4 linked regions of the Schizosaccharomyces pombe genome follow. Changing the gene in region 3 together with the main gene of any one other region gives a genetic interaction. Each region holds a gene or a part of one and is shown on either strand. Other genes may lie near its edges.

Region 1 (6,552 bases), 570 kb from region 3:
GAGTTGAAGTGTTTGGTTGAGGTTAGGTTAAGTTGGCCATTAAATGCTACCAAATACACGATGGGACTGCCCTTTTTAACCCCTCAGCAAATTAGATATGTCAACGAAAACAATTTTTAACAAGGATAAAAAGTCATTTAAACAATTTAAAATTATTTTTTAGTTAATTTTGATACCAATATGTATGGGTATTAATAGTTTTTTTGAAACCTTAAGTCAGTACACGTGCTATCATCTGACTACGTTAAAGAATAAAAATTAATTGAAAGGTTTTACTATATAAATATATTTATAATCTATATAACTAAACATTTAGGCACCGTAATGTAGGTACACGATTGCCACTCACCAAAACTAAAAACCACCGTTATGCTCGTCTCTAAATAGCAGACTTAGTATACATATTAATCATTTTAATTGGAATAAGAAAATTCAACTTTCAAATTTACAATTATTAGCATACAGTTTGCTTTCTGTTTAAGGTCGTAGTGATATTCAGGAGTACCAGCCATGGTTTTGCTGTCTTCCCATACCAACCAATACTACAAAATATAGAAATTGATATTTTTATTGTGCCTTGCAACTTAAGAAATTGCTAAAACCTTTAGGCAGAAGCTTTGTAAGCGGTGCTGTGCATTAAAACCGTATTTATTCGACAAATCCGAACATATTTATCTATATTGAAGAAGTCCAAAGAAAATCACATTTGTTAAGATTATTAGATACGACATAATTAAAAGCGTTTTTCAAAATGATTGTCCTTAATGCTCTGTCGTACTTGGGTATCGTTTTGGGATTCATAGGCATGACCGTGAGTATCGCATCAGCTTTGTATTACATTTCAGAGTTTGTAGAAGAGCACTCTAGGCTCGCAAAGGCGTTTTTATGTCGGTTGGTTTATTTTATTATGGCGGTAATGGTGTTTTTGGTTATATTTGATGGTTTTCCTTTTTGGCTCTCGGCATTCTCCATTTTCAGTCATTACATTTATAAAATCAACTTTGATACCTTTCCTTTCTTCTCATTTAAGAGAATGAGATTTTTGCTAGCATGTTTCCTTATTGTCGCGAATCATATCTTATGGGTCCGCTTTTTCCAGGTGCATGAATTCCCTATTAAACCTCGTGGACTCACTTACGATTTTGTTGGTCAACGCCTTTTGACCTCTCGTGCTTCCTTTTCACAAGTTGCTTCATTTATGGGGGTATGCGTATGGTCTGTTCCTATTGGTATTTTTGTTTCCTTTACCGCTGCTGACAATACACTTCCTACCATTACAACCCCGTCTTCCTCGTCCCCTGATGCTTATTCTTCTGGATCATCTCGTCGGACGTCGAATGTACTTCGACAAGCTTATAAAAAGTTAGGTATCTTCGTCGAACGTAGTCTTACCTCTTTGGGGTTGAGTGATCGTTCAAGTGAACGTTACGTCTGAGTTGAGTTTGAGGGATGCTTGTCTTTTTAAATTAAGGATTCGTTTAACTTTACTGTAATGTCTGTACTTCTTATGTGATCATTTACTCACAACATGTTGCATCTCTTTTTTTTTTCGACTTTTATTTTGTATATAGTTTTCTTCATACTTTCTTCATCAACACTTTAACTTTTTCTCGGTCAGTTTGAGCGAACAAAATTATCCTTCTTTTACGTTTTGTCGTTGTTCTTTAGGATTGCCTATTGTTATTTTTTTCAACATGGAAATTGTATTGTCAATTTGACTTAAATTTCATCTCGGACGTGTAGAAAATGCATTTAAAGGAAATAGATGACGCCTTTTCATATTCATATGAAACGGAGTTTTTTACGTCTTGTTCATAACGATTTTATCAATAAAAATTAACATGATAGAAAGCTAAATATATCCAAGTAAACCCTAGCCACTTGTAAAATTGATAAAATACACATTTAATTAATCAGTATCGACTATATAATACCGAGTCCTAAAAATACAGCAGACATCATCATAATGACCATAGCACTTAACGGAGAAAACGAATTTCCAGCATTTGCAACCGCATTCTGAGAAATCAAAGAGATGTTGAAGGACGGAATAGCTGAAGAGGGCATACTACTACTACTTGTATAGGAATAAACGACGCTTTCCGAAATATTCACAGCAGACAACGATGTGGATGTGAAGTGACTAGTCTGAACCAATTGAGTAGATGCCACACTCGTAGGATATTGCGAACAAGTTAGAGCACCAGGAATGTGTTGATCCACGATGGCGGACAAGTTGGATGTTGCGTTATAAAAGGCTTGCCCAATGGCAATCATTTTTTGACTTTGATGATAAAATGTGTAGGCGTTTCGAAAAAATAACAAACCTAATACAATCTCACTATCCGTCGAAGGTCGAATACCTAAAAGACATATGTTTGAAACTTGCCCAATCACTAGCAACGATATCGGTACCTTGATAGTTGAATTACATCCAAATTGAAATATCAGAGCGGCTTCCAAATCAATTTCATCACAGTTTAATGCGAAATAGCCTTCGGATAAGTAGGCACCAGCATTATCCATCACACTGTAAGCCAATTCGGCAGGCAAATAAATATAAGTTTCACGAGTTTGAAAGTATGCATCAGTGATGATAGAATAATTAGAAAAGAACGTAGAGTTTAAGAACTGCACAGAGTAAATGGAAACGGCGTAATGCGTAAGCTTAGTCTGCTTCAAAGCGACAAACTGTCCCTGGTACTTTGACGTATCCACGGCTCCCAAAAGTAAACTTCCATTACCCTGATTATCCAGATACATACTAAAAGCAGGGTATGCCAATATATCCTCTTTAACTAGTTGTTCCAAAAAGGTTGGTGGTGAAAAACTTGAAATGGAATCCGAATAATCTATTGAATTAATTTCGGTACTGGCAGCTAAACCTAGCACGCCTTTGTACGGCAGCATTGAACTGGGAACATACTCCTTTAATGTGATGCCGAATTGGAAGTCCGGTAAAGCTTGATAATGACTGTAAGAAAGGGAGTCCTGAACATTAATTCCAGCAACTGTAATGTTATCGTCATAGCGGATAAAAAAAGTGCTTGGACTCGTAACAAAATGGAAGCTAGAAGATGCATTCCCAAAATAACAAGAATCACTTTCTTTTTTACAAAGAAAGTATCGCAGTTCATCCGTACTCCACTGAGTACCACTATTCACTATGCCAAGATACGCTGGATTAAACGCCATTACATTGTAGTAAGTCAACCATGTGTACGGCATGTCCAAATCTATAGCTACAGTGTACGAAATACTCGGACGACCGATCGAAAGGGTAGTAGTGTAGTAAGTGTAACTCTGCAAATCTAAAGGAAATGAAGTGATACCAGATGGAGAATAAGTATAGTCACGCTTCTCTAATTGATTTTCCTGGTTGGGAAAAGTTTTCGCAACGAAGTCCAAAGCTAAAACACCATTTCCCGTATATTGTAACGAAGAGACAAGTTTAATGAAGGAGAAAAATATTAAAATCCAAATCCTCATAATCCTTAAATAATTAGAAGAAAATATAGATGCAAGAATGTTTACATAGAGGTAAATTAAAATGACCAAGGTGATTATCAGATAAAAAGAGAAATAAAGAATAAGAATAAAGTAATATGAGAAGAAGAAATAAGAATATGCAAAACGGAACTAAAACAAAAATGCAAAGTAGAATAAAGAGCAGGTGCCGAGTTCTTTTGATGAAAGAATGTTTTAACGAAAGCAACGATGAATTGTTATTATCCCTTGTTATGTTGGGAGCAACAATTTGGCAATCTTGCTTTATAAAGAAAAGAAAATCCACAACAGAAAGTGGAAATAATCCTCAAGGGATGAGCAATAGATGCATGTAAAAACCAAATGCAACGCAAAAATCTAGAAAAACTTGATCATAAATAAGAGTCTTTCACAATTCCTAGCACGTCGTAAAATAATAAATACAAATTGAAAATAAGGGAGAAATAGATCACTTAACGATAGTTTTTTTAGAATGATATGATAGTAGGTTTGGCATGTAGCTCAACTGAATGTATTTTTGAATAATTTAAGTTGAAAGGGAAACGTTTTTAAAGCTTTGAAATATGCCGATAACCTTTATGGTAACGTCTCAACTTTTAAATAGAACAAGCGATTTCTCCGAGCAACAAAAAGACGAAAATAAAAGACAGTCTTATTGCTGTACTTGTAGTTCAAAACTGTGTCCTAGTAGAGTGCTATTTCCTTGTTTTTCTACTTCACCTAATATGGTGGTTGATTGCGGGCTCAAATCCCTTGGGGGGCCTCAACACCATCAGACTAACTTCGTTCACATTAGGTCTGAAAGTATACAGGATCCTTGAGTTCTTTATATCATCATACAATAAATATAAAAGCAAAACTGTGTCTTTTCTAGAATACGATTTGTATGCTTTTTCCAGCGTAATTCCGCTTAAATTGGGATTATGAAACAGGTACGTTTTTACGAGTCTTACGGGCCTTAAAGTGATAATTTTATTGTACTTCGATAACTAATTAATATTTTTAATTAAAAAGAAGGAGACCAAAACCAGTCAAATTGCTTTAGTCGATGGTGAAAAATTATCGATAACAGATTCTTTTGCCTCCCTTTTTACTCTAGACGAAGAAGAAGAAAACGACTCTGTAGACAATGAAGAGATTAAGTTAACAAAAGAGAAACATGAAAAGTTACTTCTTTTATTTTGGTTGCATTGCAAGTTTCCTAATGGATTAGAATGGCTTCATTCATCAAGTGATCTTTTACCAGAGCAAGTTTCTGAGTGGTTTAACTTTTATCAAAAGTATCGTTTTAAAAGGTATGTCTCATTGAGTAACTTTTTGTATTTTCCTCAAATGTACAACTAACATGCAAGGGGGCGAAATTTTAATCTTTCAGCTAGAGAATCTGTAACTCCTATCGTTGAAGAACCGATAGTTCCCGAAGAACCCGATAATTTGGAAGGAGTTTCAGAGGAGACACCTTTAAAAGAAACTTCCCTAGAACTTAGCGAGGAGGAAATTATAACGTCAAAATCTCCCATACCTTCACCTGAAACTATACATAAAAATATTGACGTAGAAGAGAAAGAAACTATTGAACCAACAACACCCGTAAAAGAAGTGGAAACCACTGCTCATGCTGAAGAGGAAAAAGGCCCTTTGACGCCAGATAGCGAGTATGCTGCTCGACAGCTTACCGAAGAACTTGCAAACAAATCCTCTCAAGAAGAAGGAGTCGATAAGCAATTAAGAGTGGTTGAAGCTACCGAAAAGGAACATGAGGAAGATGGGAATGAAGAAAATGTGACCGTTACCAAACCGGTAGAGGTTGCGACTGATCAAGTTGAGTCTAAAGAAGTGAAAAAGAAAGAGGTATCAGAGACAACGGAACCTACGGCTCCCCCTGTCACTGTTGCAGAAGTTTTGGAAATTGAAGATAAAGTCCCAAAGGTTGATGAAGTTGAAGAAGTTCATTCTCCTGAAGCCAAGGTCACTGAAAATGATGTTGAGAATGTACAATCAGGTATTGATATTGAAAAAACTATACAATTATTAAATAATCAAGAGATTCCTTCGGAACAACAAATCATTTCCGTTGACAAGGCCACTGAATCTCCTGTTCAGGAAGTAGCGGTTGATGTCAACGAGAAGCCAGTAGATGAAATTGTTGAGCCTAGTAAATTACAAATGGAAAATAAGTTACCATCGGAAAAATCCCCTACAATTGACAGAACTGGGGTTGAAGCTCCGCTTTTTGAACTTTCTGTATCTATGCCACTAACTTTAATTCCTCCTTCAAAATTTTCTGAACCGGTGAAACCAGAGCTTTCCTCAGAAGCATGGCTGCTTCGAACAGAAATGTCGCCTTTACATTTAAGGTTGAAAAATGCACATAAATATGTTCTATCAGATAACTGGTCTCATGCGTATCGCGAGGAAATTGTACGACAATCACTACATCATTTAACGGTTGCAAAAGAAAAAGGTATTTGGTCCTTTAGACAGCCCAAAAGACAAAACGAGATGCCACGATTGAAAACTCATCGGGATTATGTTTTGGATGAGATGCAATGGATGTCAATTGATTTTTCTCAAGAGCGTAAATGGAAAATTATATTGGCTCATAGAATGGCGAATTGGGTAATGGATTACCATCAAGCTAGTGATAAATGTACTGTTTGTACTCCGGCTTCGTTGTCAAAGAATAAGAAGCCGTACATGCAAGAGAATGAACATCAGAAAGACTCTCACGAGGAAACGTTTAATGAACAAATAGTGAGCCATTTTAATCTAAATGATAATAATAACAACAAAGTGCTCTCTATTCCCAGGGATTCTTTACAGTTTTATAATGCTGTTTTTTCGGATGATATATTTGTGACAACAAACTCCGAACAAATTCAGAACTGCGTTTTAAACGTTCCTATGTACGGTCCTCCTACTGAAAACAATGAATATTGTGAAGAAATATCTGAAAAGTACCCGATCACTCCTGTGTCACGTTTTGCATATGCCAAAACAAAGCTTAAATCCACCTGTGCAAAGGCTTCTAGGAAACGTTTGTTC
Region 2 (6,937 bases), on a different chromosome or scaffold from region 3:
ATGATGCTATTAACCTACCTTTTTATTATATATAAGTATATATAACAACACTATTAGAAGGGAGAAAAAGGGATTCACTTTGAGAATGGGTTATGGGAGTGTTTAAGCTGAATCGGACGGTGACGGAGTGATAACGATCAAGAACATTCCTATTGGCTTACTTGGCTAAGCATCCTGAACCTATCTGCAGCTACTAGAACTACTCACATAAAAAAAGTTAGAACAACATAACAAGAAAAAAATTTCGCATTGCTTGTGTTGATTTTATAACCGCCATGGAACAGGGGGGTATGCTGGACACATTCAATCGTTACTTTACAACATGTAGGGCTGGTTACTTATAAATTTCCTTAAAATGAGGGACGCGCCTGCCGGTGCATAGTTTAAATATAAATATATTAAAGCAGTAGTTTATGTAATACATATTGTATTTATCAGATGAGAATTCTATTGGTATTTTAATAAACCTATAAAGAACAATATAAGGGTTAAAAAATAACAAGTATTAGTGCCATTAATGGCAAGTAGCGTTAAGAAGAAACGGGTCCGGTTTTTTTGCGATTTGGCAGAGGTCGATTTTCGGGATTATTTGGAGTCCAATTACCTAATGAATTGGTAGCGTAAAAGTCCATAGGATAAACTTCCTTCCAAGGAACAACATTAAAAGCAGCAGATGCTTCATATGGTGTCAACAATGGAGCGGGAAATGCATAGCCCCAATCTATGGAAAGCCTTGGACAAGCGACCTGAATCCACGCGTCAATATCAGAGAATTGACCCAATCTACTAGGAAAAATTTCTGACATTAAAACGCAAACGAAATCTTTATTATTTTTCCTTAAAGTATTCTTTAAATTTTCGAGTACCTTAGGAGACCCCTGTCGACCCAGTGTACCTTGAATTAGACCGAACTTTTTAGCGGTACGAGCTTTCTCAACGGCGGAATACCGAATAGATTTCATTTCTTCATGAGCATAAGATTCAATAGAGAGCTTATGTGAGTAAGGATCATAGCGGTATGCGGGCAAATCAGGATTAGCAATCATGACAGATTCCAAATGGAATCTTCCGTCACCAATGTAAATTAATGCATCTACAGATCCTTTTTCAATATAGGGAGATGTACATCCCAACGCCTCTCCAGGAGATAATGGCTTTGCTTGTGGAATAACAACGTAAAAACCTCCCTTTCCGTCTTCATCCTGTATTTGCAAAGCGTCTTTTATAGAGTTGAGAGATCCAACAAATTGGATAGTTCCAACCAAAGCTAACCTAGAATTGGAGGGTAGATTATGTTTTAAAGATGATACGACATGTTGCAAATCTATCTTTATATCCACGAAAACATATAGCACCTTTATGGGCGTTTGATCAACAGGTATAAGACAAGAATGACCATAGTGTACTAAAAAATCGCAATCGAGTGCCCTAGCTGTAAAATCGTCAATACAACACGCACCGTATGTAACGTCGCCCATCACAATTGTCTCGACCTGGCAAAATTGTTCAAAAATATCAGACAATATACAACCAAACATCAATAGCCCCTCGGGAAGTTGCAAGGCAACACGTTTTGCTTTTCGTAAGCGAATATGCCAAATGGTTTTGTGAATTTCAAAATTGTAATTTTGCGGTAACTATTAAAGGTTAGCTGACCAAGCTTTGATGTTTTTGAGAAAAGAAGAAACTAATTTACGGCATCTTTCTCTAATAAAAGCAGCTTACCAATTTTATAGCTTCATTAATTGCTTTATCGTTTAATATATCCTCTGGGATTTGAGTAGCTACTCGTCCAGCGCTCCTCTTGGAGTTAATAGTGACGAGAGCAGCATTTTCAACATCTCTATTAGAACCATCCAAATTATTTTCCTTCCTATTTTTTTTGCCAACAAAACGACGTTTTGGAATTGATTTTTTCACTTCCGCCATTGTGTTTTAAAATTATAAAGTCTATTACTAAAACCCTTTGAAATCCCAAGAAGTAACCAATGCTATGTATGTATTTAAATTGATAGAATGCCAAAAATCCTTTTTCCCTGCAAATTGCTTGTTTGTTAAATTAAAATACAATAGGATCCCAAATAATTTACTAAGTAAAAAAGCATTGCACTTTGCTATATTATTTAACACACGTTGTTATATTACGCTATTTCTATCGGAGGTTGGATCCACGAATACAGCTTCACCTCCGATCATAGGCCACGAAATTTGAACGGCTAACGCTCCTTTAGATTGTTCCAAATTAATTTGCGTGAATAAGCTAAAGCTGTTTTTAGTCACAATTGAAGTTAAATGACCTCTGTCATCCAAGATGAAATTCAGTCATAGGTTTGTTGCATCAGTTTTCACAAGACTTGTTCTAATTACTTTTTAGTCTTCAATTTAATGCAGTACCGGAATGGTCCGAAAGCTACATTGCGTAAGTAAACAACCTGTTGGATTACTTCCGATTTTTGCTAACAATCGGTGCTTAGTTACTCGAACCTTAAGAAGCTGTATGTTTGAAAATTCTCGAGCTTACGACTGGCTATTATGATATATCCTATATTCCGACAAATTCATACTTGCGAAATTTGGGATAATGTCTGATTAACAGCCGGAGAATAAAATTGTACTTGAATTTTGCTAACATATATTTTTAAGTATTTATTCATTGGAACATGAACAGATAACATTACAACAAGGCGCTCCAGATGAAGAAACTAGGCTGTTAGAGCACGAAAGAAGATCACCCGATGATCGCTTTATGTTTGCTTTAGACAAGGAATTACAAGGAATTGTTGAATTTTATGCTCCTAAAGAAAAAGAAATTGCTGATCAGTATGGTAGAATTAAGGGCGAATTTGAAACCTATGAGAATGAGTATATGAGTCAGGGAAACAACATTAATTACCCTACCCCTGAACGATTACAAAAGAGCTCAGCGAGTAGGAAATCTGGTCGTATGGCCCGCAGCCAAGAATTGCCTCGCATTACTTCTTCAAACCGTGAGATATATCTCAATGGGCAAACTAGTGATGGAGGTTATGCGGCCCCTGCTATATCTAGAGCAGAATCTACTGCTATTCAACCGTCTGAACCTCATGATGTCGATACTTCTAAAAACGGTTTATCAAAAAAACAACATTCAGAAGCTCAACCTGAGGTACAAGGCAATGATGATGAGGTGGAGGAGGAAGATGATGATGATGATGATGAAGATGAGGACGAAGATGAAGACGAAGATAACAACAATAACAATCGATGGTTGCTTATTGAACAATATCCATCTGATATTGTTGCGTACGAAAACTTCGTTTCTTTAAAGCGAAAACTGACACAGTTGTATGTTTCAATTCATGACTTGATTTCGTACGTCCATCTTAATTATACTGGTTTTTCAAAAATCTTAAAAAAATATGATAAAACTTTGGGTAGTAGCCTTCGTGAATCGTACATGAAGCGCGTCAACCAAGCTTACCCTTTCCTTCCTGCTACTGGGAAAACATTGTCAAAGCGTTTAAATATTGTTGCAGAGTGGTATGCTAAGCTATGCTGTCAAGGCGATACATTTGTGGCTATCCGTCGCCTTCGTGGTCATCTTCGTGAATACGTTGCATGGGAAAGGAACACTATTTGGCGTGAAATGATGGCTATGGAGCGTCGTACTCAGGCCGCGAGATTATCAGGACTGAAGCCTGTCGCAGCTGATGAGAAAGAATCAGAACAGCCCCCCTATTTTACAATCAAAACTAAATTTGGTGTTTTTAGAATCCCAAGATGCTTCTTTAATAGCACGATTGCAACTTTAATTACTATTATCGTTATATTTATTCTCTTATTAAGTTTTCCTGTCATAGATAATAGGGAACAGAACAATTGTTTGGCTTTGTTAGTAATGGTTTCTTTATTATGGGCTACGGAGGCTATTCCTTTGTTCGTTACTTCGTTTTTGGTTCCTTTTATGACTGTGTTTTTGAAAATTTTGAGAGATGAGAACGGTTCACCTCTTTCTGGAAAGGAATCAACAAAGGTTATATTTAGTTCGATGTGGAATCCAACTATAGTTTTGCTTTTAGGAGGTTTTACCATTGCAGCTGCTCTAAGCAAATATCATATTGCTAAAAGGTTGGCGACTTCCATTTTAGCGCATGCAGGGCGTAAGCCTAGAAGCGTGCTTCTTACAAACATGTTCGTTGCCATGTTTGCTAGTATGTGGATTAGCAACGTTGCTGCGCCAGTGTTGTGTTTTTCTATTATTCAGCCCCTTCTGAGAAATTTACCAGCAGAGTCCGATTTTGCAAAGATACTAATTGTGGGTATTGCTTTGGCATCTAATGTTGGAGGTATTGCTTCGCCTATTTCATCCCCACAAAATATTGTTGCGCTACAGAATATGGATCCCGCTGCGGGATGGGGTGAATGGTTTGCCGTCAGTATTCCTGTATCGTTACTGTGTATATTTTCTATATGGTTTCTGTTGTCTTTTGGATTACTGAAAGATGAGCACATCACTTTAGCTAAAATTCGCTCCACCAAGGATACATTTACTGGTGTCCAATGGTTTATTTCCATTGTTACGATTGGTACTATAGTCCTTTGGTGCCTTGAACGCCGCTTCGATGAGGTGTTTGGTGATATGGGTGTTATTGCATTAGTCCCAATCATTGTATTCTTCGGAACAGGTTTGTTAACCAAGGAGGATTTTAATAATTTTTTGTGGACAGTCATAGTTTTGGCAATGGGAGGTGTTGCGTTAGGAAAAGTAGTGTCTTCTTCCGGCCTTTTAGAACTTATTGCCCTTAAAATAGGTAATGCTGTTTCTTCCCTTAATACATTTAGGGTACTGCTTATTTTTTCTGCTTTGACTCTTGTTGTTTCTTCATTTATTTCTCATATAGTAGCTGCAATGGTGGTACTTCCCATTGTCCATGAAGTTGGAAGTCGCCTTGCCGATCCTCATCCACGTCTTTTCGTTTTGGCTTCGGGAATGATGTGTAGTCTTGCTATGGCTTTGCCAACCAGTGGTTTTCCTAATATGACAGCTATCATGATGGAAAATGAAGCTGGCAAAAGATATTTGAAAGTTAGTGACTTTTTAAAAGCTGGTATTCCTGCCACACTAATTTCCTTCGTGATTCTCCTATTAATTGGAACACCAATCATGCGAGCACTTGGATTTTAACCTCCTAATTTGTAAACGGTACTGTATCTTTCTTTTTATAATTTTTGAGTCGAAGCATGTTCTGCTGCATAACACATTCATATTTGTCAATTCTACTTAAATAGATTTTAAATCATTGCATTCGAAGATAAAATTATGGTAGCTTAGTGTTCCTACGGATCTTAATGTATTTATATGTTCACTTTATAATACGATACAAAACAAATTTTATCTCTCCTTTGTTTCAAATTGACTGGCAAAAAAAAATAACAAATAACTAATCACAAAAACCTAAGGAATATGAAAAATAGTTGCTAATTTTCGTAGAAACTTGGATCTTGATTAGAAATGAACCAAATTATGCATCATTCAAATAGATTGTAGTGTGTATGGTGCAGCGGGAACGTTATAATTAACCATCACCTATAGTCTCAAAATGTTACGCAAATTGCCCATCAATTTTGCGAAATGGACTGTAAAAAAGGTGCCAGTTCAGCAGAAAAGATTTAATAGTCAACAAAAAGAAATCTCACCTCATGTAAGCTTTTCTAAATACGCTTTAGGTCATAAATTTTATCTGTGCTAAAATTCATTCAAGCATTTTTGCATTGTTTTATTTAACATTATTTTATTAACGATCATAAAGATTATGTTTTATAAAAACTACGCTAGACCTCTTGGTAAAGTGACGCTTTTTGCCTTAGCAACTTATTATGGATTGGAAATAGTTTGGTGGAAATTAGATGCATCAGAACAGGAAGCTATTAAAAACAGTAAGTTGTTGATATGTGAAAGCTCTTTTAGTTTGTTGACATTTAGGCGAATTACGGAATTTAGAGAATGCGAAATAAAAACACGAGATTTGTATGACCCAGAAATTTAGTAACGTATATGGCTTAAAGAAGCGAGATTACGATTTGTTAATAGTTCAGTATGTCAAAAATTCTTTGAATAGCTAAATGCTACAGACGAAACACTCAGTCAAAAGGTCCTCGAGTTGTTTGTTCAAATAATCGAGAAGAGGTTATTTTTTCTTCGAGTTTTACGTCGGTTACCTAAGACTAAATACATCTACTTAGAAAATACGAAAACCCCAAGTAAAGCTTCACATAAATAAGGTTGCAAAACAAACTGAACATTTATACTTATGAACATGTAGATAAATTGCCAAAAAAAAGGTTGACGAACTCTAAGATTACGAATAATTATAGAAAATGAAGAAGCTTTGGTGTTCTAAAATGTCAAACTTATATATAAGAGTTTGGAACCAAAGCGTGAAACATGCTTACTCTTCGTCAATAATTTCTTCCTCCAATCGAATACCTTCTTTGGCAAGTGTATCAATCAATGGACCGCAAAGCTTCATATCATTAGGAGCCAAAACACCTGGGGTGTTAATAACACCATCAAGAATTTGCTGAGTAGCAACACCACAAGGAACGCCGACTAATTTTGCCATAGAGGTGTAGCCATTAGGAACACCGTAGTCAAGCAAAGTGCAAGTACGAGTTTGGCGTTTTCCTTCTTTGGTTTCAACTTCAAACTTGTGTTGAAGGATTAACATATCACGTTCACCTTCTTCGTATTGCATAAGTTCCTCCAAGGTAGCGCATAAGGTGTCCAAAGGATTACCACGAGGAGTAACGGGTTTGCTAGAGAACATACCAAGCCACTTCAAACCATTCAAAATGCGCTTCTTGTCGTCTTCATCTTTGAATTTGTGGATGGAAGAAATTTTCTTGATTAGGTCGGCTTCGGAGGAAGATTCAGCCTTGATGACACGAGCAGTAACCT
Region 3 (5,772 bases):
TATCTCACCAATTTGAGGATCGTTTACATAAGCCCACCGACTTCTATAAGTCAACAATCGTCTCAAAAACTCTTCTCTGCTCCAGGGCTTATATGTGCATTTAGAAGCTTTTAGAGACTTTAAAAGAATATCTTCATTTCTTTCGTCAATTTTGTCTAACTGATCCAAAATTTCATTTGTCTCCATATCGGTAGGAAATGACATTATCACCCGTTCTAAGAGTTAAAAAATTATATTTCTTTTCGAAAAATGTGGTGTCTCAAATATTATCATAGAAAACTTTTATTACATGCCTTTTCCAAACGTTTTCAGCAGGAATCAAGGTAGCGCAAGTCAAAGTACTTAGGAAGGATCTCAAAATACCAATTTGGATCATGAGCTCAATATTCGTTTCATCAAAATTGTTAAAAAGTTTTACCGTTTTAAGAAAACATGTCCATGTTATTAGCCAAACCACACTTGAAGGCATAAATTCCTTGAAATTGATCAACACCACCGTATAGTAAATTTACGAGAATACTAAAAGTAAAATAGTAAGGTAATATGGAAAATAACTATACAATTAACCTATTCATACTGACCTGTGTAACTATACCTGAACAATTAAACATTGCTACTATATAATCCATAATTTAAGGTAAATAAAATATGTCATCCATAAAGACATATAACATGTTGTTAATTGTTTTGATCTAATTAAAAGGAGCTAATCATAAGCTTATGGCAAGTAAATATTTTCAAGATTACATTTTTTGTAGAATCCTCGATAACGCATATGCTAACATGCTGAAAAATCTAAATAAAGCCCTAAAGCTAGAATATTTCGGACAGATTATTGGGCGACCTTTTGAAAGTGAGGGTCTTTAGATGTTACAGCTGCAGTAGCTTCAATTACCTTTTCAAAAATACCTTTGTAGGCGGCTATAACACCGTTATTGTTCTTAAGAGTTCTTCCTACACCAAAGTCCAAAGGTTTGCCAAACATATCAGAAACAACACCACCAGCCTCTTCAACAAGAAGAGAACCACCAGCATGATCCCAAATTTTTTCTTCAAATGTCATTTTGGTTGGTAAACGAAGGTAGATGTCACCATCACCACGAGCAAGACTAGCGTATTTGGCTTGAGAATCCATCTTGGTAGGTCCACGAGTAATCCCTAAGTACTTTGCAATTTCTTCTTGAGTTCCTTGCATTGAATGACCAGCCTCTACTCCTTCGCAAAATTTTGAATCCTTGGTGTTTTGAACATCTTGCATGTGCACTTGAACTGGTTCTAATTTTTCGTTATGGAGAGAATACTGGAAGCAACCATGGTTACGAACAGCGGACATTATGATACCTTTGGGACTTGTCTCGGGCTGATTAAAGTCATATGGAAGATTAGGGCATCCAATGGCACTTACCACAGGTTTTCCATTCTCAATCAAAGCTAAACAAATAGCATACTGGGCACCACGTAGAAATCCTTTAGTTCCATCAATGGGATCCAAAGTCCACATACGACCATTGCGACCACCGTGATATGATCCTTGGTCAATAATGCTCATCATTTCTTCAGCTGACTTGATTTGACCAAGCTCTTTGTATTCAGTAGCATGTTGGATAGTTTCTTGAACTAATTCCCAAACACGAGAGCAGGTTTGGGTGTTTTCTCTCAAAAAGTCGGAATCCTCTTCGCCAACAATTGGATCATTGGGAAATGCATCTTTTAACATAGAGATTACGATAGCTTGAGCACCAAAATCGCCAATAGTCACAGGTGATTTATCATCTTTAGTAAGTGCCCCAGCAGCACTCTTCTCCTTGATAAGTTGATTAAACACTTTTTCGGTCAAATAGCTAGCTCTGCGCACAGCAGCAATAGCTAATTGTTTTTCGGCATCAAAGCTCATGGTAAATAATTTTCTAATGTTATTTATTAATGGAGGTATGATTTTAGCACCAAATTTCCTGTTAACACGGAGTTTGGAAATTTTTGTAAACCTGGGCAGTGGAAGTGCGAAGAATATGAAATCAGCATATACGGTGTTTAATTGACGTTTCCACATTTAACCAAAAATATTGTTCAAATAGAAGAAAGAACTAAAAAATTGTTATGAAACGAGAAAGAGTTTCATTTTTTCTGACTAAAAGACCTTTTTTTTTTGTAAAATCGCAGGTTATGCTAACTTTTATTAAACAATAATGATTATGTAGTTTCTATTGTGAAAAGAGCATGTTAATATTTTAAAACAGGTTTCTCCATGTCCACATTTTAGGTTTTCATTAATTATACAAACGACACTACTAAAGTCTGGGTATTGGCAAAGCAGTTCGCCAACCCTTCCAACCTATGGAGAAAGGATGAAATATAATATTAAGGAAAAAAAATATCATTCTGATGGAAAAAACGCATAATTTAAAAGCAGTGCAAGTCCGTATCTTGCGTTTCCCTTTAACAGGCAAATATGCCTAAAATTTTTATATAAGTGTAGATACCAAGGATGAAATGAAGGCATAAAAATATTTTAAAGGGATTGATTAGTAAAAGAAGAAACTGCTCATAAAATTTCCTTTCTCTCAAAATACTGTTGTTTGAAGAGACTTGAGAAATTAATGAACAATCAGATATTCCTCAATACAGATTGAAGAAATAGTTTCCTTATGGCAAATTACAATCATATGTAATATATTGTGATAACAAGACTTACATTCCATAAAGTCTAGTCGTTTTCAGGTCAACTCATAAATGTAAACAAAAGTAATACACCGTGACGGAACGTACTGCGTTATCAGATAAATGAGGTTCAGTCTAACGCGTCTTCTCATATTCAAACATAAACAAACATGAACATTTTCCCAATTGTTAAGTACTCTGTAGCTGAGGATTCGTATACTACAGATTCCTCCCATATCAACTGGTCACATTATTCAGATGGAGGTTTTACACTCTCATTAACGTCTGGATTGCTTCAAATTCGTCAACACGAAGAATTAATTGTACGCGACATGAAACCATATTGCTAGAAAAATTCAATATTTTTAACAAACAAACAGCAAAGTATAAACTTGTTAGATCTCTGGCACCAATTGATACCGGGAACGAAGGAAAAATGTCTAACTCTGCTTTCACGCGCTCCGTGTATGAATATTCGTGCTTTCACTAATAATGTAAGTAAAACAAAAGCAGATTTATTCAAAATCACATTGAGGCCTCTTTTTTTAAAAAAAAAAATGGAGTGTTGATGAAGCGTATTTTGTTGTTAATAAATTTAGGTGATGAAAAGATTTCAAGTGAAATTCCCATCTGACGTGCATTATATGAAAGCCAAAGTTGAATTTGAGAAGCTAGGCCTGGTGTTCAAAGATGCAAAGTCTTCCTCTGAGAAGAAGCAATTCAATAACTCCCAAAGTCAATCTAATAACTCACAGGAACTTTCGTTGATGAACAATGCATATAACAAGTCATCGGCGCAACAGCCAAATCTTTTATTACAACCGAGTTATATCCCCATGACCCAAACAGCAACAACTGCTGTGAACAATAGCACAAACTATGTCAATCCAGCACCACTGCAGCATGTCATGCCAAATGCTGAAATCTTCTCCAATACACCACCGCTTAAGCGATTCCGCGGGGATGCGGGCATGACCCAAATGCCCCTTCGAAGTGATACATCAATTGAAAGTATTACTGCGTCACAACAACCCACTTGGGATGAAAACGTGGTGATAACTTCATCACCTTTTAATCCCAATCGTAATGCCTACTCTTACGGTGCAAACTCACAATACCCCATTATTGCTGCTACGCCGCTGAACTCTCAGACACAGGCTTCGTGGGTTGCTCAACCGGAGAACCAAGCATACGCAAATTTGATTCCATCACCCCCAACGACTTCACAAATCCTACCAACAGAACTTACTGAAGAGGAAAAGCAATTACGCTCCAAGGTATTATTCTATCTAAAACAAGACAGCTTCATCCAATTATGTCAAAGTTTGGAACGGGTATGGAACAAGATGTAGGAAGACAGACCAATTCAACTTAATCCCAAATTTAAAAAAGTAGTAAAAATGGAACGAAATCAGGATCGGAATGGTTATTTCGACAAAATTGATGTGTGACCACAATTTGGCAACCAAATGAGAAACTTCATTAAGTTCACATTCTTCGAGTACCGTGATAAAACATTTGTTGCAAATTTTGACATTATTTAACGAAAAGTTGGTCGAGATCTCAACTGCATATGATCGTTGCTGAGGATTAGCAAACAGAAACCGCCAACACAACAATGTTGAAATAAATTTCTCTACTTGTTGCATGACTCTTTTCCCTTAGGCTTGTCCATGCAGAGCATTAAAATCAAATTGAGAAGATCCCGTTCCGATCCTTGGGGTGTAAGCCTCCACCACGACACATAATCGGTATCAAAAGACAACTCTGAAAACTTTTTGATGGGGGAATTGCCGCAAGTACAGCATGAATACTAGTGTTAATAATGGGTCAGGTTACAACGGTTAAAATTGAGTTGGTGGTTGGTTTTGATAATTGACTTAACAATCCACGAGAGGAGTTCATGACATTAAGTACGAAAATGGTCAAATAGTTAGTTTAACTTCAAAAATAGACGAACCAAGTGGAGAAAGTAAATGTTCCGAGCACCAAAAAAAAAACATGATATTTTTTAAAGGGATGAAACAGCTAGAACGTTATGAGTGTAAAAAGGATTTTTTTTTTTTTTTTGGGTACTTCCGAGAGAGACAACAGTCTACAAAGCTTCACAATGATTTCAATGTCCGTGAAGTAAACCTTAAAATGTCGAATCGACTTTGAAGGGTTGCATGCGAATTATCAAATAATGTTTAAAAGTGTTGTCAATGGAAAATGAATCCCGTTTCCCATTTCACTTAATCTAGCTTATCTGCCTAATCGGCACTTAAGGTAGATGGAAACCAGAGAATATTCTTTTTTCCTCAAAACAAAAACGCCCCCGCTAGTAAACCTAAAGACAATACCGACTAACGATATTGTGATTTTCACTTGGTGGAATTGGCGGAAATGTTTTCAAAGATATGAAGGCATAACCGGATCAAACGGTTTCGACAATGCTAATAGAATTCTCTTCACGTGGACGAACCGGTTTCCAAGGAGAATAAAGACATAATAATAAAATTTAACACTCCTTGTTTTATTTCGACAATATTTATTGGTCTGGTCCGAATTGTTCATTTTGGTAACTACAACATTACTCCCTATTTTTAAGCACGTTTTCATTACCCCTAATTGAAACTTGATTCTATCAACTTTCAATTTACCGGGGCTCGTTTTATTATTCTATTCTCACCATCATTCGATTTTCGCTTCATTTCTGTTGAGGGACTGCTTCCTAGATTGGTGTTTAACGCTTATCGCAACGCATGGAGTTGCATTTCATCCATTTTCTTTTGAAAATAAAGTGTGACCTCTTCTTGTGCCTAATATTGACTTGACTTTAAACACTGTAAAAATAAACGCTGTTTTTTAAAACCATCAATAACTTTAAATCATCGGTTCCTTTTTTTCTTTTATAACGAGGACTTTCTCATTAACGCACTCTGAAATGATTCTTTTCACCCTGATTTTTTTTATGCGATTGTATTTGCTCCTCACGATATACTATACTAATCACTATCGTACTTAAAAAATAGGCCGATCGTCCGAACCTCGTTTGTCTGTGCAAAAACAACTCTCGTCATTCTTACACAAAAATTTCGTTTACAGCGATACTACAAATTTTTTTCATAAGTT
Region 4 (5,105 bases), on a different chromosome or scaffold from region 3:
AAAAAATTTCTACATTTCTTTCTTTAAAAAATGTTCTCACTGATTATAGCTAATTACAATAATGAAATGTAACGTACTGACGACTGACATAACAAATAACAACATAAGGAATATTGAAGAGCGTCCAACTGTATAATTTTTAAGGCTTTTGTTAATCTTGTCTTAACCGATCAAGTTATGCCAACATGCTTTCTAGAGAAGAGCAAAACCGGTGTTTCGTTCCTGTCCGACGAATTTTAGACAATGAAGACTTAAAATTATTTAAAGAAGGAGATGCTTATAAGTTAATTGATTCGTTTATTTGTGATCTTGACGAAGCTGTGAAAGACAAGCCTATTTCAGCTTCAATTCCGCAAAGCTCATCAATAGAGCATGTATTAAATATACTAGATCGAGTTGGAGAAATTAAACAGGAAAATCCTGCAATTGATAATATGGGGTCGAGGTTTGGCAATCCTGCATTTCAATCATTTTACGATCAGGTATACATTGAAACACCAAAGTTGCACCAAGTATTTGGAATTGAGCATAATGCGGCGATGGAGGCAGGTCGATATTTTTATGAAAGCTTTGGAAACAGAAAGCGAATAGATTATGGAAGTGGTCATGAACTTTACTTTATGTCATGGTTACTAATTTTAAAGCAACTAGGCATTTTTACTAAAAATGATTATCCAGCATTGGTCGTTCGAGTTTTTGTTAAGTATGTTGAATTGATGAGGTCTTTGCAAATTTTTTATACTCTCGAACCAGCAGGATCTCATGGTGTATGGGGATTAGATGATTTTCATTTCCTCCCTTTTTTGTTTGGTGCAGCTCAGTTGGTTAATCATAAATATTTGCGTCCCAAACATGTTAGAGATCCAGAAATTTTGGAGATGTGTCGCGCTGATTATATGTACTTAGGTTATGTTTACTTTTTAAATAAGTTGAAGCCTTCTGTTTCACTACGTTTCCATTCTCCAATGATTGACGATATTTCTGCCGTAAAGACTTGGTCTAAAGTCAACGAAGGCATGATAAAAATGTATAGAGCAGAAGTTTTGGGTAAACTTCCTATAATGCAGCACTATCTTTTTGGCCATTTAATCCCAGCTTCACCTGGGATGTCTCCTGCTCCCCAAGACGGTGATGATTCTGAGGTGACACATGTTCATTCTCATTATGCTGACTGTTGTGGCATCAAGATACCAAGTGCGATCTCTGCTGCCAAAAATAATGGAAGTAGGATTCCGTTTGATTAAAAATTCTCGAGGGAAAAAAGGCGTTTTTAACGAATCTTCACGAATTTATGCGATACCCATATTTGTCTGTTTACTTTAAAAGTAATATCTAAAGTCAATAAAATTACCAACAGTACAGCATATTTGTTTATTTCATTATGCTAAAAAAACTCTACATAAACAATCAACCCTAATTTTAGCAGCATTAATATAGCCATTTCATCAGCACAAAACCCAAAATAATTGTCGTTTTAAAAATAAGGTGACAAATCATAATTTTGAGTTCTGAAATAAAAAAATTTGGAAATATTTATTTTCGTTAAGAACCCAAATTTGTCAAAATCATAATGCGTGGAAAAGTACAACTTTTATATAACATCTCTTTAATTTTAAAGGGATAATAAGATAAAGCTGATATGTTTAGGGGAGCTCGAATAAACCTTATGAATTTGCTGCTAGAAGCAGATACATGGAATGAATTAAGGATTTACATTAAGAAGCAACCCAGAACCACTGGAACTTTGGGCATTAGAACCAGCTCCAAAGGGAAGATAAGTGACCTGTGCACCTTTATTAGCAAGTGCAGTAGCCACCTCTTTACTTGTCTCGAGACGACGAATTTGGATTAAAGCGCCACCGGCTTTATCAAGTGCTTTGGAAACAATATCAGCCGCTTCTGCTTCACCCTCAGCGCGAATAACATTAGCTTGTCGCTCTTGTTCGGATTGTTCTACTAAAAATCTAGCACGCTCGGCTTCTTGTTGAGCAATTTGTTTTCTCTCTACGGCTTTCGTAAATTCTTTTCCAAAAGTCATATGAGTAATGGATACATCTTCCAACCGAATTCCAAATTCGGTAGCTCGTTGAACTAGTTCTTGGCGAATTTTGGCAGAAACTACTTCTCTTTGAGTAATGAGCTCTGCTGCATCAAACTGAGCAACTACGGATTTTAAAATTTCGTTTCCAATAGAAGGTAAGACACGCTCATCATAATCTAAGCCTAAATTTTGGTAAATTTGAGGAAGCATTCCAACTTCGGGACGGTGTAATACACGCAATGTTAAAGAAACCATCTGTAAATCTTTACTACCCGTAGTAGTTGCGATATTTCGTGGACGTGTGCGTACATCATAAACAATTGCCTTTTGTAACCATGGAATCAAAAAGTGTGTGCCCTCCTGAACAACCTGTTTCTGCACACCCGACAGACGGTCAAACAAAACTGCTCTTTTTCCCCCCGGTACATCGTAAATCGAAGATTGTAATAGAGTAAATCCAATACCTATTGGTATTGCATAACGTGCAACTCTCTCCAGTACTACAGCCATCTCTTTAATAGTACGTTGAGCGCTGGACTAAAAGACCAAACTGAAAGGGAAGTCCGTTTGAGCAAGACTAAGTATGACTTAACTGCAACCTCTAGGAAAATCTATATTCATGATTAATAAATACATGATCTTATTATTTAGAATTTTAATAGTAAAACTAAATAAAAATCTTGAATAAAAAACCAAGAATTTGTAAACGTCTGAATTATTATTGGTCTAGCAGACCCGCACACTTACCCTTAACAAACATCTGACTTTGTAACGGCAATCATCAATATATTATTGTTTTAACAAAATGGGTGGTGCTGCTGGAGGAAAAACTTATTTGTAAGTGCAACTTAAAGCAGTTTCTGTTTATAATGGGTTATATGACTTTTCTTTGACGCTTATAGCGTGAGACGGTGGACACAATTGGTGTTTATTTCGTAAAGCCATTTTCGTCAGCGAAGTTATATACATTCAAATAGCTGCTGAGAATATCATTGAACGTTTTTATTTATACTAACACATGAATAGAGGATGGTGGGGCCATCTGTAAGTGCTATAACAATTTGATACATTTTTACTTACTTTAATAAGAGGTGGACCTAAACAAAAAGGAATCATAACATATTCCCTTTCCCCATTTCAACAGAGACCAATGGCCGGCTTCTTCAAAACTTCTACGCAAAATATGTTTCGTCGCGTCATGACTGAAGGTCTATACGTAGCAATTCCGTTTGGAATAGCTTACTATATTTACTGTTGGGGGAAGGAGCGTAATGAATTCCTCAATTCCAAACATGGAAGACACGTAAGTTAATGACTGAAGAATCGATAAGCAGCTATGGTTTGCAGCATTTTTCTATACTTCTAAATTGTGTCAATAATTGTCATTTTACTAATATGTGGTTTAGTTGGTGGAGGAATAATGATGAGAATGAAGTATTCATTTTGGTAGAAGGATTTACAAAATTCTTCCCTACCCTTTCCTTATTGGGTTTACAATTACTATCTCTCTCCTCTCATTATGCTTAGTATCAGAAATCTATATATCCAACAAAATTACTTTGTGATATGATCTATCTCTTGAATTTGAAAACATTATTACTCTTAGTTTTGACTTTCATTTGATTTTGTCTTATAAAAGACAAGTTGTAATGCTGAAACAGCGTCTTCTTCGCTATCGTGTGTAGAAGTTTGTATTGTTGTTCCCAGATATTTTTTAGTCAAATATTTTAAGGAATATCTAAACGGCGGGCCTCTGGCATGCGTAAATAGAAGAGCAGTATCTATGACACGTTTGTGAATAAGCCTCATCGCATTCAAATCGTTTTCTAAACCATGTCCTATTAAAATTGTATTTTTATTCATGCCAAGTTCCTTTATTTTAATATACATTTGATCCATGGTAATTCCTGATTCTAATTCTTTGGCATCATGTATCCCGCTAAATCGAGTATTGAGACTCAAAATTTTGCCTTTAGGCTTTATAAACACATCCATAATAATGCTTTCCTTTGCTACCACCGTCAAACGAGCCAATTCCATCCCGTTCGTAGTGTAGCATAGTTCACAATCTAACGCGCAATGACTTAATTGCTTGCTATTTGTACTGTCTGGTAAGTAGGAAAATGGATGAACGCTAGCAAGATACGGAAGATGTCGGTATTTGAACACATGGTTGTCTTCTATAATACAACCAGACGAATCGCCCTCTTTTACACCACAGCAAGTGTATGTACGAATCTTCTCCCCCCCTTGCTTTTCACGAAACAGTTTTCCCCAATGATATGTACATGGTCCTCGAGGATCCGCAAACCGTGTACCACATCGATCGCATTCACGAAGTTCATCTGGCGGGTTTACTGGTGCAACGTCTCCAATATTATATCCCCATAGAATCAATTCTTCTTCCGAATGAACAAGTGACTCAAGTTTCTCATCAGGAGTTGATCCTTGTATTTCATTTTTCTTCGGAGCTTTCTTAAGAGATAAAATTTTAGACTTGCAGGAGGAACTGTATATCATTTTACTGTTTGCAGTTTCACAAATATTTTTTTCATCGAGAAGAGCAAGCATACTACTTTCTGCATTGGAATAGCCTAAATCCTTGTAAGACTCATATAACAAATGTGTCATTCGTTTTCTCAGTTCATGCCCAGCTGGTGAGTTGGAGTCATATTTAGGAGTAGGAATGATATTGGAAGACGCTCCTTGAGAATCTGAATTAGTACTAATGGCTGATACAAGTTGCTTCTTCTTATTAGGAACGATGGAAATGGCATCATTAAATAAAGAACGCTTTTTTAATACAGTATTTGTAGGTAGATGCGTCGTTTGATGATTCAACTGCTTGCATTTGTAAGTTTCTAGTACGTCCATACGAAAATTCTCATTCTTGGTTTCTTTAATGGAATCATTTGTCTTCTCCAAATTTAAAGTGGTGGATATATTTTGCCTAATGTTGAAATTAAGATTTTCAACCGAATGATAAGGGATACAGGTCGTAACTATTGGAACACAAATAGACAGTTTACAATTATCGTATTTGTAAGGAAGTGATTTTTCAATT

What was found.
Region 1: mutations in tol1 (region 3) and yps1 together harm fitness more than expected from each alone (negative genetic interaction), as found in Schizosaccharomyces pombe (one large-scale study listed by BioGRID).
Region 2: mutations in tol1 (region 3) and plt1 together harm fitness more than expected from each alone (negative genetic interaction), as found in Schizosaccharomyces pombe (one large-scale study listed by BioGRID).
Region 4: mutations in tol1 (region 3) and qcr8 together harm fitness less than expected from each alone (positive genetic interaction), as found in Schizosaccharomyces pombe (one large-scale study listed by BioGRID).

Annotation. Positions count from the first base shown.
Region 1 is NC_003421.2:976,690-983,241, forward strand, and holds yps1 (yapsin Yps1), read right to left. Parts: upstream 4,246-6,552; 5' UTR 3,490-4,245; coding exon 1,924-3,489; 3' UTR 1,538-1,923; downstream 1-1,537. Other genes in the region: protein SVP26, read left to right, coding at 752-1,435; vid21 (NuA4 histone acetyltransferase complex scaffold subunit Vid21/Eaf1), read left to right, coding at 4,431-4,439, 4,522-4,802, 4,860-6,552. UniProt on the Schizosaccharomyces pombe protein: Cleaves at paired basic residues.
Region 2 is NC_003423.3:3,385,389-3,392,325, forward strand, and holds plt1 (phosphate transporter), read left to right. Parts: upstream 1-2,229; 5' UTR 2,230-2,311; coding exon 2,312-2,328; exon of another isoform or gene 2,329-2,374; coding exon 2,375-2,419; exon of another isoform or gene 2,420-2,474; coding exon 2,475-2,495; exon of another isoform or gene 2,496-2,643; coding exon 2,644-5,164; downstream 5,165-6,937. Other genes in the region: diphthamide biosynthesis protein Dph1, read right to left, coding at 531-1,637, 1,726-1,929; mitochondrial F1-FO ATP synthase peripheral stalk assembly factor Ina17, read left to right, coding at 5,580-5,681, 5,790-5,916, 5,963-5,994; lys9 (saccharopine dehydrogenase), read right to left, coding at 6,429-6,937.
Region 3 is NC_003421.2:1,546,126-1,551,897, reverse strand, and holds tol1 (3'(2'),5'-bisphosphate nucleotidase/inositol-1,4-bisphosphate 1-phosphatase), read right to left. Parts: upstream 1,995-5,772; 5' UTR 1,895-1,994; coding exon 833-1,894; 3' UTR 501-832; downstream 1-500. Other genes in the region: zinc finger C3HC-type containing RNA export factor Rsm1, read right to left, coding at 1-204; meiotic recombination protein Rec7, read left to right, coding at 2,829-2,981, 3,039-3,152, 3,258-4,010. UniProt on the Schizosaccharomyces pombe protein: Phosphatase that converts adenosine 3'-phosphate 5'-phosphosulfate (PAPS) to adenosine 5'-phosphosulfate (APS) and 3'(2')-phosphoadenosine 5'-phosphate (PAP) to AMP. May regulate the flux of sulfur in the sulfur-activation pathway by converting PAPS to APS.
Region 4 is NC_003424.3:4,764,264-4,769,368, forward strand, and holds qcr8 (ubiquinol-cytochrome-c reductase complex subunit 7), read left to right. Parts: upstream 1-2,792; 5' UTR 2,793-2,846; coding exon 2,847-2,878; intron 2,879-3,067; coding exon 3,068-3,085; intron 3,086-3,130; coding exon 3,131-3,344; intron 3,345-3,447; coding exon 3,448-3,462; 3' UTR 3,463-3,643; downstream 3,644-5,105. Other genes in the region: ypa2 (serine/threonine-protein phosphatase 2A activator 2), read left to right, coding at 186-1,244; prohibitin Phb1, read right to left, coding at 1,703-2,551; exonuclease Rex3, read right to left, coding at 3,644-5,105.